Linked DNA regions of Rattus norvegicus. The protein of the gene in region 2 interacts with the protein of the main gene of each other region in a biochemical or structural test. Links are inferred from orthologs where the notes say so. Each region holds a gene or a part of one and is shown on either strand. Other genes may lie near its edges. The genes, in order: Wnk1, Oxsr1 and Wnk4.

Region 1 (3,647 bases), on a different chromosome or scaffold from region 2:
GCATGCCAGCTGTTCCTAAGGGTAAATTGGTTGGTGGCAAGCAAGTGCTTGTAGTGGAAGTCATGAGTTTACTTGGTGCTACAGCAGTGGTAGGGATGCCCGGTGTGACAGTCTCTACTACTAAGGGTGTCTCCAGGGAGACAGAAGCATGCTGAGTTCCAGATGAGCTATGCTCACTAAAGAGCGATCTCAGCTTTTCCTCCAGAGTCTTTATATCATCGATCCCAGGAGCTTTGGACTGGGTATCAGCATCCATTTCGGGACAGTGTGTGTGAGGCTGGTTGGGAAGTAGAGCTGGTTGAGGCTGACTATGAATGAGTGTTTGCTGTACAGCAGGCACATTAGCAACAGGTTGTACCAAGGGTGGGATATTAGGTACTTGGGGTAATAAAGGTGTAGAAGTAGGTACTGCTGGTTGTGGGAGGACAGGTGTAGAAGCTATAGCTGATGAGATGACCAAAGGATGCACAATACCAGGCTGAGAAACAGAACTAGACACTGCTGTTCCAGAGGAGGAAGAAGAGGACGGTGCGCAAAAGGACAAACCCAATCCTGCTGTACTACTGTGAGATGCCTTGTCTAGTGAGTGTGCACTAACCACCACTGTTTCAGCTAGTGTAGGAGCAGATGTGCTGCTACCAAGTGGAAGGGATGGCTGTGAAGCCATGGCTGGGAATGGAGTGGTAGTAGAAACTGATGTCACTATGGCTACCCCAGCAGTATTACCTGCTACCTGTTGCAGTAATACAGTTGGAGGCTTAGCATTTGGGACAGCTACACTACTCACTGTGGTACCTGTAGTTGTGGAAAATGTTCCAGAAGGAAAACTGCCTGTACTAGAAGCAATGCTCCCAGATGTGGAAGCCTGAACTGGTTGGGATGTTGTAGACACTGTGACAACTGCAGGCGCTGTAGAACTTGAAACTGCACTGGAAAGTGTTGGTGTCTCAGACACAGACAATGTGGTGAGACCACCTGAAGCTACCACACCTGTGCTGGTGGTAACTCCCCCAATGCCTTTGTCAGTGGGCAGTGCACCCTCTGACTGCATCACTGATGTGGAAATGTCATTAAGAGGGCTGCTTGTTATAGGGACTGATACTGATGGTGTGGATGCTGCTACAGTTTGGACACCAGCAATGCTAGTCAAAAAGGGAGAAAATGTTGGTCCTGGGTGATTAAAATTTGGAGGTGCTGTATTGGGTCCTTCAGTCATCTGACCATGTTTCAGTTCAGAAAAAGCCTGCTGGAGACTAAGGGATGAAGCGGAGTGAGATAAGTTCATTCCAGGGCCCTGAGATGTAGAGGCCGCAACTAGAAAAGAAAAAATAAAGAAATTACGCTATTTAAAACATGTGGATTCAAAAAGAGTGTCTTTGAGGAAACATTATTGGATTATTAACAATGTTACACATCAGTATGTCTTATAACTATTCCCAAGGAAATGACACGCTGTAAAACAGTATAGTAGTTTGACATAGTAAGGCAGCTTATAATTTTGAAAACCATCAAACATAAGACTAGCCTGAAAACAAAATTTATCTCTAAGTATAGAAACACAATACTGTGTAGGTTCTATTTAGCACGCCTGGTCCTTTATGGCCTGCTGTCTTTCTTTTTCTTTGGAGAGAGGGTGTTACGTAGCCACCCAGGCTGACCTCAAACTCCCGATCATTTCCTCTTCCCTGTCTCCTGAGCATGAAATTACATGCACGTGTCATGTTCAACTCTAAATTTTATTTCAACACTATTTTAGTTCATTTCCCTCTTCCATGTTACTTTACTATTACTTTTAATTTTATACTTTTGATTTGATCATGAGTTATTGTTTGATCAAGATTCCGCCATACCAGAGATGCTATAAGATTTACCAAAGCGTGGCTAAATCATTCTTACCTGGATCTGGTATTTCACTGGTGAAAATTTTTGATTCTCGTAATCGACTTTCTGGAACTGGACTCACTATAAATCGTCTTCCAGCAGAATGAACAACTTGTGTTAAAGAACTGGTAGGAACACCTGAACAAAACAAATCATTGAAATTCATATATACTGTTATATATAAATAAAGCCTTGAGATTTCACTATTGGCACATACAACTTCAAAAGAAAAGCTTACCTATTTGTTGTGGCATGGAAGATACAGCAATTGGTTGCTTGAACTCTCCTTCTAATTTCTACAATAAGCAAAAGTAAAACTCTTCTCAAATGCAACCTCCATGATTATGCAAAGCAAACTGTCACATTTGATGCGCACATAAATGTTCATTCTCAGGCATAGAGGTACTAACTATTGCATCAGTGGATATTCTGCTTGATAGGTTAGGCAGTACAGAACTATTTTAAATACAGAACTAACTATAGCTATGGTGAACATACCTGAGAACCTGGAAAGCCATAGTCATCCTTTCCTTGTAGACTCTCCAATCCCTGGTCACCCTCAGGCTCCACACTGACATCCTCGCTTAACATTTCATCAGCCTTTTCAATAATTTCCCGCACTTGAGCCACAAAAGACTCTCTCTCTATGGCTAGAATAAAGTCATTGTTCACCTATAAGAAATTTGATATCAATCTCATTAGTACATTATTTAAGCTTTTAGTCATTCAATTACCAATTCATTTTTATGACTCCAATCTGTACATCAGCTGTACTGTGTATGTGGTATTTAAAATACTACTTTCCTTCATAAGACCCTGAACACATACACAGCTACATCTTAGACGAAAGCCATCTCTAAATCATAGAATCATGGGTTGGGTATGCTAGTTTTAAAGCAGAAAATAAAATTTATCATTAAAATGAAAGTGGATGGCAAAATACTGCATGGTTGTCTAGGACATGTACTTAAGACCATATACTATGGGAAAATGTGGAAATCCAAATGGAGGCATACCATAATTGTTGCTATCTCTTCAGGGTTGTCACCATCTAGGTCAAATTTAAATGTAACCATTTTCCGATTATGAGTCTCCAATTGACATTCTACTACTCGGTCTCCTTTATTTGAAACCTAAAATGAGAAAGGTAATTCATATTCTGATTTATTACTGAATTTGAGAAGTCATCTTGAAATTCCTTGAATCGTTGGGTGTGTATGTGGTTTTTTGAGACAAAGTTTCTCTATGTAGCGTCCTGGAACTCAGAGATCTGCCTATCTCTGCCACTCAAGTGCTAGGATTAAAGGTGTGTGCCACCGCCATCAATGTCTTCAATCTTAACTGGCTAAAGAAACCCGAGAGGTCTTGCTCAGCCCTTGCCCTCTTTTCATCTTCCATTAACGAAAGTATCTAGTATCTTTGTTTTGTCAGCTCAAACTCCAGAGCTAGGTGCAACAACAAAAAGAAATGTAATAGTCAACTAACAGAGATTAGGTATATTAAATAAAAAATCTGCTATAAAATTATATATAAAGATAAGGCATCTTTATTTTAACCAAGTGAGTGGTTTAGATCTCATGATCTCTAAAATTAAAAGTACTAAATTCTTTAAATAATACAAAGGTTGAAAATCAATATTTACATTTAAAATCCTCAGTTTCGGGCGAGAAGTCTTTTCATGACGAGAACGACTTCTTACAGATTTTCGATAATGACGTTTTGTCGTCCTCCCTTCATGCCTCCCGCTGGATGAAGGAGCATTCTCA
Region 2 (3,647 bases):
TATAAGTGTGTGGTTGTGCTCCTCTTGTTATTAAACTGTAAATGGCAGTTACACTTTTAAGTGAAGGTTGAAAAAAAGAAAAACTTGCCCATTAACATGGCATTTTACTAATACAGAATTCACAAATATAAATTCAGTTTTAAGAAATTAATCAAGAAATATCTGGGCAACTTAGGTCTATTATACACTTGTGAGTGCACGACATCAGCTCAGGCCCCTCCAGCTTGTGCAGTGGCCTTCCTGGCTGTCTCCAGCACTGGTGAGTCATTCATTTTAAGAATACACACATAATACTGTGTACATGACAAAGGTAACCCTTGGTGCGCCCACACACAGTTGTACGTATCAGAACACACATGTCATGTTTACCTAATATTTTACCTTTTTTCTGGATCCTTTTGAAGGCACAATGAAATCATTTTTCTAAATGATTTTCCATATTTTTTCAGCATTTCTTTATCTTGAACACCAGTATCCAAAGAAGGAGGATCGTTCTGGAGTGTCAGCATTAAAACCTGTGTAGTAAGAATTTTGGTTTCTTTAAAAACCCAGTGATGCTATGTGACTGTTTTTTGTTTTAATCCCAGGTGTGGACACAGGCTTTTGAGTGCCTACAGCAGCTAACTATGATTTGCCTCATGCTCTAGGAGGGATGTGATTTTTGCCAGCTGCAGATAGTTTACGACTGGAATTCTGGGTACTCTTGAGAGTATACCAATGGGAGAACCCCAGGAGAGCCTGTGGAGGCTGCTGCTCTCCCTGCTACTGCTGGTTTCTGTTGTTGTAGCTTGTCCAGTGGTTGTAAGCAAAGAGATGAAAAGAAAAAATTGGATATCCTAACGACAAAAACTGAACTCGCCCCAAGGAACTCCCTAAGCAGTGGGAAGTAGTCTAAAGAGACCTATGCCCCCTTTCCCCTCTAACCTTCTTTCTTTCCTACCTAGTGATGGGAGTTGGAAGGGATCGGGGTGAAATTAGGGCTGGAAAGGAGGAACCCAACAAAGTAGCCCACAAAAGTATACCAATAAACCTGCAAAATTTTTTAGTATAGTATAAACACATGAAGAACTTTCAATAAGGATAAAACCTTTCAACACACAAGCAGATTTTACTTTCTAGCAGTTGACATCTAGGGGCTGGAGATGGCTCAGATTGCCGTGTAAGTATAAGGACCTGAGTTCAACCCTTCAGAACTCACATAAAAAAGGTGGGTGTGGTGGTCTAAGTCTGAAATCCAAGCTGGGAAGGGGGAGTGAGGCTGGGGGGTGGGGTGGGGGAGGTCCTTCGGGCTTTGGGCCAGCCAGTCCAGCCAAATTGACAAGCTCCAAGGTTTAGGGAGAAGCCGTGTTTCAAAATATAAGGCAAAAAGTGATTGAGGAACATATTTGACAAAAACCTCTGGTCTCTAAAAGCCTAGACATACATGGGCCTACACACACACACACACACACACACACACACACACACACACACACACACATATGCATGCACACATGAACACATGCACACAGGTACACATATACAAGTTACCATCTAGGTGGAGTTTTAGAGTCAGGGGATAGATAATATGAACTTGTCTAGAATGTATGAGACCTGGGGCTCAATGCCCAGCACCACAAGAAACAGACTAGCTGATGAGAGCCCAAGGCTCCCGTGTGGACTGGACATTAGTTAAAAGCTATACAAAAATGGTGGATCCCCAGAAGTGCCCACTGCCGACAGACACTGCTACATCCTTCAGTTACAATTCCTTATCTCTTCATGTTCACAGACCTACTTCTTCCATTGCCAAACAACTGCATGGACTCCTTAGCTTCACCTACTGCTCGCCCCGTGTCTCCTTGACTTCTGTCTGTTTAAGTAACAAAGCAAGGCTACATTCCATTCACACTCTTAGTTCGCATTCTCCCTGCCTCCGCTGCAACCTTAGTTGCTTTGCCAGCAGAGCCTGTGAAAGGCAGATGAGTAGAGAACCGAGGAGGCTGGATACCAGACACCAAAATGCAGTCAGAACCAATAGCGCTGTGTGCGCAGGACAGCAAAGGGACGCAAGTTCAGCAATCCGTACATATTCTGTGAAGAACTAAACCAAAGGTCAGTGGTTCTGAACCCAAGGAAGAGTCGGGGTGTGGTGATGACATCGTGAACAGACTTATCACATAAATACACAACCAAAAATGCTTTATCCTGTGCTTGATCCCTATACAATACAAAGTAAAAACGGTTATATGAGTGTAGAAAGATTGTATTTTGCTAAAATATACATAAAAATTCTAGGAAAATAAGTAACTATGGTTATGACTGACAGACATAAAAGGCTCTGAAGAGTCACCGGACTGGACGGGGAATAATACTTAGAACGTGAGCCTCACCTTCATTGGAGGATATTTATGATAAGGAGCTGCCCCTGTGGCTAGTTCAATCGCTGTGATTCCAAAACTCCAGATATCAGCTTTAAAATCATAACCTCGAACCTGAAAGGGATTGGGGGGAGGGGGAGGGGGAGAGAGATACACAATTACTTTAACCAGGCTAAAACACTTTTGCACAAGTTTCTAGTGTGTCATGTTGGGGAAGGTGGGAGTGAGAGTCTCCCTGTGCAGCCCAGGCTGGCCTTGAATTTTTGATTCTTCTACTTCAGCCTCTGGTGTGCACTACCAGAATGTGCTCACAAACTTTAACCAGTAAACTACAACCATTACAGTCCTTTAAAGGACACAGCAGTACTTAATAATTCTATATGAAAACACAGAAAGTATTCCTGATAAAGCACTTATAAAAGTGTAAAACTATCATTAAGTTTGATAATTACAAGATTCACTCTATTTACCAAAAACAACTAAAAAGAACAATCCAGAACCAAGGTTTTCCATAATCCTTTTCTGTTCCAAATGTTCTATATGATTTTTTTCCTCCTTCCTTCCATGTCTTTCCCCTCACTGACCTCCCCACTCCTTTCCCATCTCCCTCGACCTGAGGTTCTTGTTTGCTTGAGAATAAGATCTCATTAGGTAGGCCAGACTGGCCTGGAATTCTCTACTCTGTCTCAGTTTCCTGGGTGATGTAAGTACGTGCTGGAATGTTATCATTACAAAGGGGTTGTGGATAGCTAAGCCGTTGGCATGAACAGGCTGCTAGTCTCCACTGCCACTGTCACGTCAGTCACACGTTTTTAATCTTCTATACTGAGCTACATAGGAGAAGTTCAGGGGTCAGTATGTGTGCTGTGCTGCCTTCTGGTAGAACAGGAGGGTCTGCAAAGGAGAGTTTCCTCCATGGACAGTATTCCCTATACCCACAAGCTTCTCTACCAGACAGATCAGGGGCAGCTCCTGCTTACCTGAGAAGCAGGTTTAGCCCCACCATAGCCTCCATTCCAGGAAAACCAATGAAGTCCCATATTCCTTCATATCTCTCCCCTGCCCCAGCCTTTCTCCACAGCCTATGTTTGTTCATTCTGTTCCCAAGTGTGGTGGCCTCTTAAGACCCTGTATGGCCTGGAGTGCCCTCCTTTCACAGGCTGTATGTAGTAATATATGTATGTATATGGGAAAATATGTATATAGTAACACATCTGTGACACTCATGAGTAAATCCTATACAGTGCTGAAAGTAACCTAGAGTCTTGAGAAGTAGGCTGGTTTGTA
Region 3 (4,371 bases), on a different chromosome or scaffold from region 2:
TGGGGAGGGATGGAGATTTCCCAGGCTGGAGAGCCACAGGAGTGACAGTTCAGAATGGGAGGGATCACAGAATTGGGGTTGTTTGTAACTTCAGCTCAAGAAGAGAGTGTCTGAGGGAGTGAATGCACTTTACCCCCAGGGGAGTGGGAAATCCTGAAGGGGTTTAAAAGAGCAAGTCAAAGGGTCAGGCTTCCCCTGGGTTGCAGGAAGATAGGATAACTTGAAGGGAGGGCAGATTGGGAAAGGCTCTTTAGGAGGGCTTCTGGGAGTTGGGAGGGGTCAGTGGTATAGCAGCAAGGTAGAGGAAAAGATGGGGGGGTGCAGTGGGAGGATGTTAAACAAAGACTTAAGTGACCCCACTGTTGAGAAAGAAGGTACATTGCAGTAAAGATACCTAAAGTTTTGACTGGTATGCTTGGTGTACACTGGCATTCACACAGTCTAGTAAGTGGGAGAGAGCCTGGTTTCAAGTGTGGAAGTTTGAAGTGACTGGGAGAAGTTCCCAGAGCCTTGGAGTGACGGGTGACATTCCACCCCTCCCCTCCCACCCAGGCCAGAGCTCACGTCTTGAGCGTGCCCGAGGTCATGAGTTCTGTGACCAGCACGATGCAAACCTGACCCCTCAGCACCGACTTCCAGGAGTCATAGAAGCGGACGATGTTGGGGTGCTGCAGCCCCTTGAGCATCTCAACTTCCTCAGAGAAACGCTGCCGTTCAGCCCGAGAGAGTTTCCGAGTCTGTGGGATGGGGGTGACGGAGGGTCACATCAGATCCAGATCAACCCCCCCCAAGAAGGACATGGGACATCTAGGGTATGGTGGGGGGAGAAATGAGGGAGGGTATAGTTGGCGAGATCTCTAGCAGAAGGGCTGTAGACCCCCAACTTTTGGTTGATCCCTTCTTATTGCTCCAAAACACACCCACCCTGGGCCTGGGGCAGCACTCCGGACCCCCTGCTGGACACAAGCGCCTTTATGCAACCAGGTCTGGGAGCTATGCACTCAATAGCGCCTTTGTGGCCGCCAGAGCCGACCGTGGAAGGGGTGGGGTGGGGTGAAGGGGGGGTGGCAGACGGCAGGCAGCAGGCAGCAGGCAGAAGGCAGACCACGGGCAGGGAATTGGGGCCGACAAGGGGTTGGCCTTAAAAACTAGGAACTGCAGAATCTAGACAGAGTCCGAGGAAGGTACCAAGAAAGAAAAGATCCAGGGCCAGGAGACCACCCCCCCATGGCAGGAGCTGCCCTACCCCTCTTTTCTCCCTCTCCCTCTCCCTCCCCTGAGTCTGGCTGATTCTCCTGGCCTGGCTTAGAGCCTGGGGTGCGGCACTAGCAGTGACTAGCGGAGAGCCCTATGCCAGGACCAAAGTGGAAGGACCCTTCCTCCTGGTTTTATACCCTAAAAATTTCCGGGACCACTCACACATAACAGTGGGAGACACGGGAGGAAGAAACTGCCAATCAACATCCTCCTGAAGTCCAAAGGTTGCAAGAGCTCAGCTCCTTTGGCAATGGAAAAGGAGATTCCAGGTATGCATAGGGATGAGAAACTGAACTGGACTCCAGCTAGAACTAGAGCTTCCTGTCCCACTCCTTGAGGCTGTTAAGAAGTCTGTAAAACCAACAACTCCAGAAACGGCCTGGAGAACCCCCTTCTGGAGGTGGAGAGGGCCTTGTCCTCAGCTCCTGAACTCCCACATATTATTTCTAAGTTTGTAAAGAGGTAGGAGGAGGAGAAGGAGAAGGAGGAGGAGGAGGAGGAGGAGAAGGAGGAGGAGGAGGAGGAGGAGGAGGAGGAGGAGGAGGAGGAGGAGGAGGAGGAGGAGGAGGAGGAGGAGGACCAGAGACACAGCAGAAGGTTTCAGGACTTGGAGGAGCAAGAGAGGAAGGGGCAGTGATACCCCAGGCAGGAGACTGGAGTGCTACCCGCTGCAACTCAGTTTTCCAACCCTCAGATTTGTAAGAAGGTTTGAAAGTGAAGTTGTCTATGCTCATTGGGAGCCACTGTATACCATCTGCCTCAGTTTCTCCTGAAACCACCCAGAGTCAGTAAAACCATGCCGGCAAGGAAAGCAAGAGTGCCTGGACATCTGACAAAAAAGTGATCCTTCCTTTGATGCTGTCCTCCCTGTTTCCCCAACCTAAGACCACCAAAGGGGCCCATCCCACCTAGGGGGTGCCCAGGCACACCTGCAGCTCACACCAGGCCACCTCTACCGTGGTGTCGGTGTCTAGCCCTCGATACACGGTCTTGAAGGAACCTCTTCCAATCTCAATGTCAAACTTGAGGTATCGGCCGTCGGGAGACGTTGCCACAGCCTGGGTCTCTGTGTCCTCTTTTTCTTCCTGCTCCCGCCGCCGTTCCCGGGCTGCAGCATCAGGAACCCTTGGTGGCTCCCGGGACCCCGGACCTCCGGAAGATACTGTAAGCTCAGGACAGGCAGAGTCTGCAGCCTTCACCGGGGCTGCCCCCGTCCATGTGCCCTCGGGGTGTTCTTTAGAGTTTGAAGGTGGGCTCCTCATGGGACCAGCGGAGTCCGGAGGATCAGGAGGTTCCGGAAGGAGTGAGGCTGGTTGAGACCAGGAGCTCAACAGTCCCAGATCGACTGAGCTGCGGCGGCTCGGTCTCGAAGAGCGCGGCCGGGGCTCAGCCTTCCCAGAGAAGCGGCGCACTCGGCGAGGAGGTGGCCCCAGGCGGGTCGGCCCCATGGAGGTGAGAGACGGAGATGGCCGCAAAGCCAGGTCGGCCTCCGTTTGGGACATGTGGACCCCGGTCTCTGTATTTCGAGGTGCTAGCATGGGAAGGGCCGGGCGCCGCAGAACGGAAAGCCGGCGGCTGGAGGCAGCAGCCTGACAGGCAGACCGGCTGGATACGCAGCGCTCCGGTTGAGCTGCTGGGGCCCCAGCCCCTGGCTGGCCTGCCCGGCGACCCGCCCCCGGCTCCGCCCCACAACCCGCCCCCAGCCGAGACCGGTCCTCACCCCCCAGGGCCGCCCCCTTGTGAGCCTGACGTGTTACCCAGTGGGGATAGGTAGGGTACTGCCCCTCATCTCAACCTGTGCTTAGCCCCCCCCCCCCCCCCGGCTCCGTGCCCTGCTTTCCAGAGTCCCGGCCTTTAAACCTTCTTCCCAGCAAGAGCTGAGTGGGAGGCGGCAGCGGGTATACTCCCGCACGAGGAGAAGGCAAACATGTTTGGGGTGGGGGAGTTGAAGAACACTGGAACAGGAGATGAAAAGTGACCGCCACTCCTTTGCTTCAGTGAGGGGGAGGGGCACCACCAGCCTGCGCACCCTTGATAAGGCAGTACTACTCGGTCCTAATCAGAAGAAGTAGCCCCAGGCCTAACATCGGTGTTGGAAAGGTAAGGTTTTCTTCACTTAGCTAGCCCCCTGGTCTGCACTAGGATGGGTTGTGTTTACTCCAGACAAGCCCCTCCCTACCACCAGGCCCCAACCAAGAACTGGTCACCCATCAGCTCCACCCCACCTTGGCCGGAGCCTGCCCCTGGCCAGAAAGGCTGTTTTTTGCTGTGGGCTCTCTTTCCTCCCCTCGTGTTTGCCAAAGTCTTCAATAAACCAAAGTCCACATCCGGTTTACCCCACCAGCTCCCCTTGGCCACAACTACCCCACCCAGACCATCATGGGTGGAGGGAGGGGCTTTAGAATAGAACTTCCATGGGGGAGCAATGAAGTGACTCCAGTTTAGAGAGCAAGCAGTCTGTCCCCAAGCTGTGTTCTACCCGCACTCCTCCACACAACTCACCCAGCACATGGCAAACCACAGGCTCACTGGAGCCCCCCAGGCCCTTCCGTACAAAGGCCAAAGATTCTTCTATTTCCTTGGCTGGGACTCAATCAGGTGGAACTCTGCACCGCCCTCCCTAGTCCCAATCCAGCAGTAGTAACAGGCAGACAGTGGGAGTAGAGATTTTAATATCATAAATCAGTGGGCCTGCCTCTCACTGCCAGGCCCCTTCTGGGGCTTCCTATCTTTATATTGCCTGGAAGGCTGCCTGCAGCCAGGGCTTCCCCCATCCCTAGGAAGGATCCAGCACCAGCCTGAGAAGGGAGGCAACAGCAGCTACAGGAGTGGGAGGAGGAGGAGGAGAAAGAAGCTTGTGCAGGCGCATGTAGGTGGGTGTGTACTTATGTGTGAGAACACATGTAAAGTGTCAGGTTTATAGACCCTAGCTCAGGGACAGTACAGGATAGGAAAGGAGGTAGGGCAGGCAACACATCCTTTCTCCATGGCACTGTGGGCTACCCTATCCCAGGGACAGATAGAACAGGTTATGTGGGAAACATCCCTAAGTCTGAGCTTTCAGGACTTGAGCCCTTTGAGTCTGGTGGAGTGACAGATCCAGTCTGTGGGGAC

What was found.
Region 1: of the proteins of Oxsr1 (region 2) and Wnk1, one has a biochemical effect on the other in vitro, tested with the Homo sapiens proteins (2 studies listed by BioGRID and IntAct, with this or other methods). The link is inferred for Rattus norvegicus from reciprocal best matches to the Homo sapiens genes OXSR1 and WNK1.
Region 3: the proteins of Oxsr1 (region 2) and Wnk4 are reported together in a solved structure, tested with the Homo sapiens proteins (2 studies listed by BioGRID and IntAct, with this or other methods). The link is inferred for Rattus norvegicus from reciprocal best matches to the Homo sapiens genes OXSR1 and WNK4.

The regions. Positions count from the first base shown.
Region 1 is NC_086022.1:154,825,129-154,828,775, forward strand, and holds part of Wnk1 (serine/threonine-protein kinase WNK1), read right to left. Parts: coding exon 3,524-3,647; intron 3,015-3,523; coding exon 2,898-3,014; intron 2,554-2,897; coding exon 2,380-2,553; intron 2,178-2,379; coding exon 2,120-2,177; intron 2,020-2,119; coding exon 1,897-2,019; intron 1,315-1,896; coding exon 1-1,314. UniProt on the Homo sapiens protein: Serine/threonine-protein kinase component of the WNK1-SPAK/OSR1 kinase cascade, which acts as a key regulator of blood pressure and regulatory volume increase by promoting ion influx.
Region 2 is NC_086026.1:127,884,230-127,887,876, forward strand, and holds part of Oxsr1 (serine/threonine-protein kinase OSR1), read right to left. Parts: intron 2,475-3,647; coding exon 2,373-2,474; intron 516-2,372; coding exon 382-515; intron 1-381. UniProt on the Homo sapiens protein: Effector serine/threonine-protein kinase component of the WNK-SPAK/OSR1 kinase cascade, which is involved in various processes, such as ion transport, response to hypertonic stress and blood pressure.
Region 3 is NC_086028.1:86,701,408-86,705,778, reverse strand, and holds the start of Wnk4 (serine/threonine-protein kinase WNK4), read right to left. Parts: upstream 2,940-4,371; 5' UTR 2,796-2,939; coding exon 2,187-2,795; intron 1,500-2,186; exon of another isoform or gene 1,465-1,499; coding exon of another isoform or gene 1,420-1,464; intron 738-1,419; coding exon 565-737; intron 1-564. UniProt on the Homo sapiens protein: Serine/threonine-protein kinase component of the WNK4-SPAK/OSR1 kinase cascade, which acts as a key regulator of ion transport in the distal nephron and blood pressure.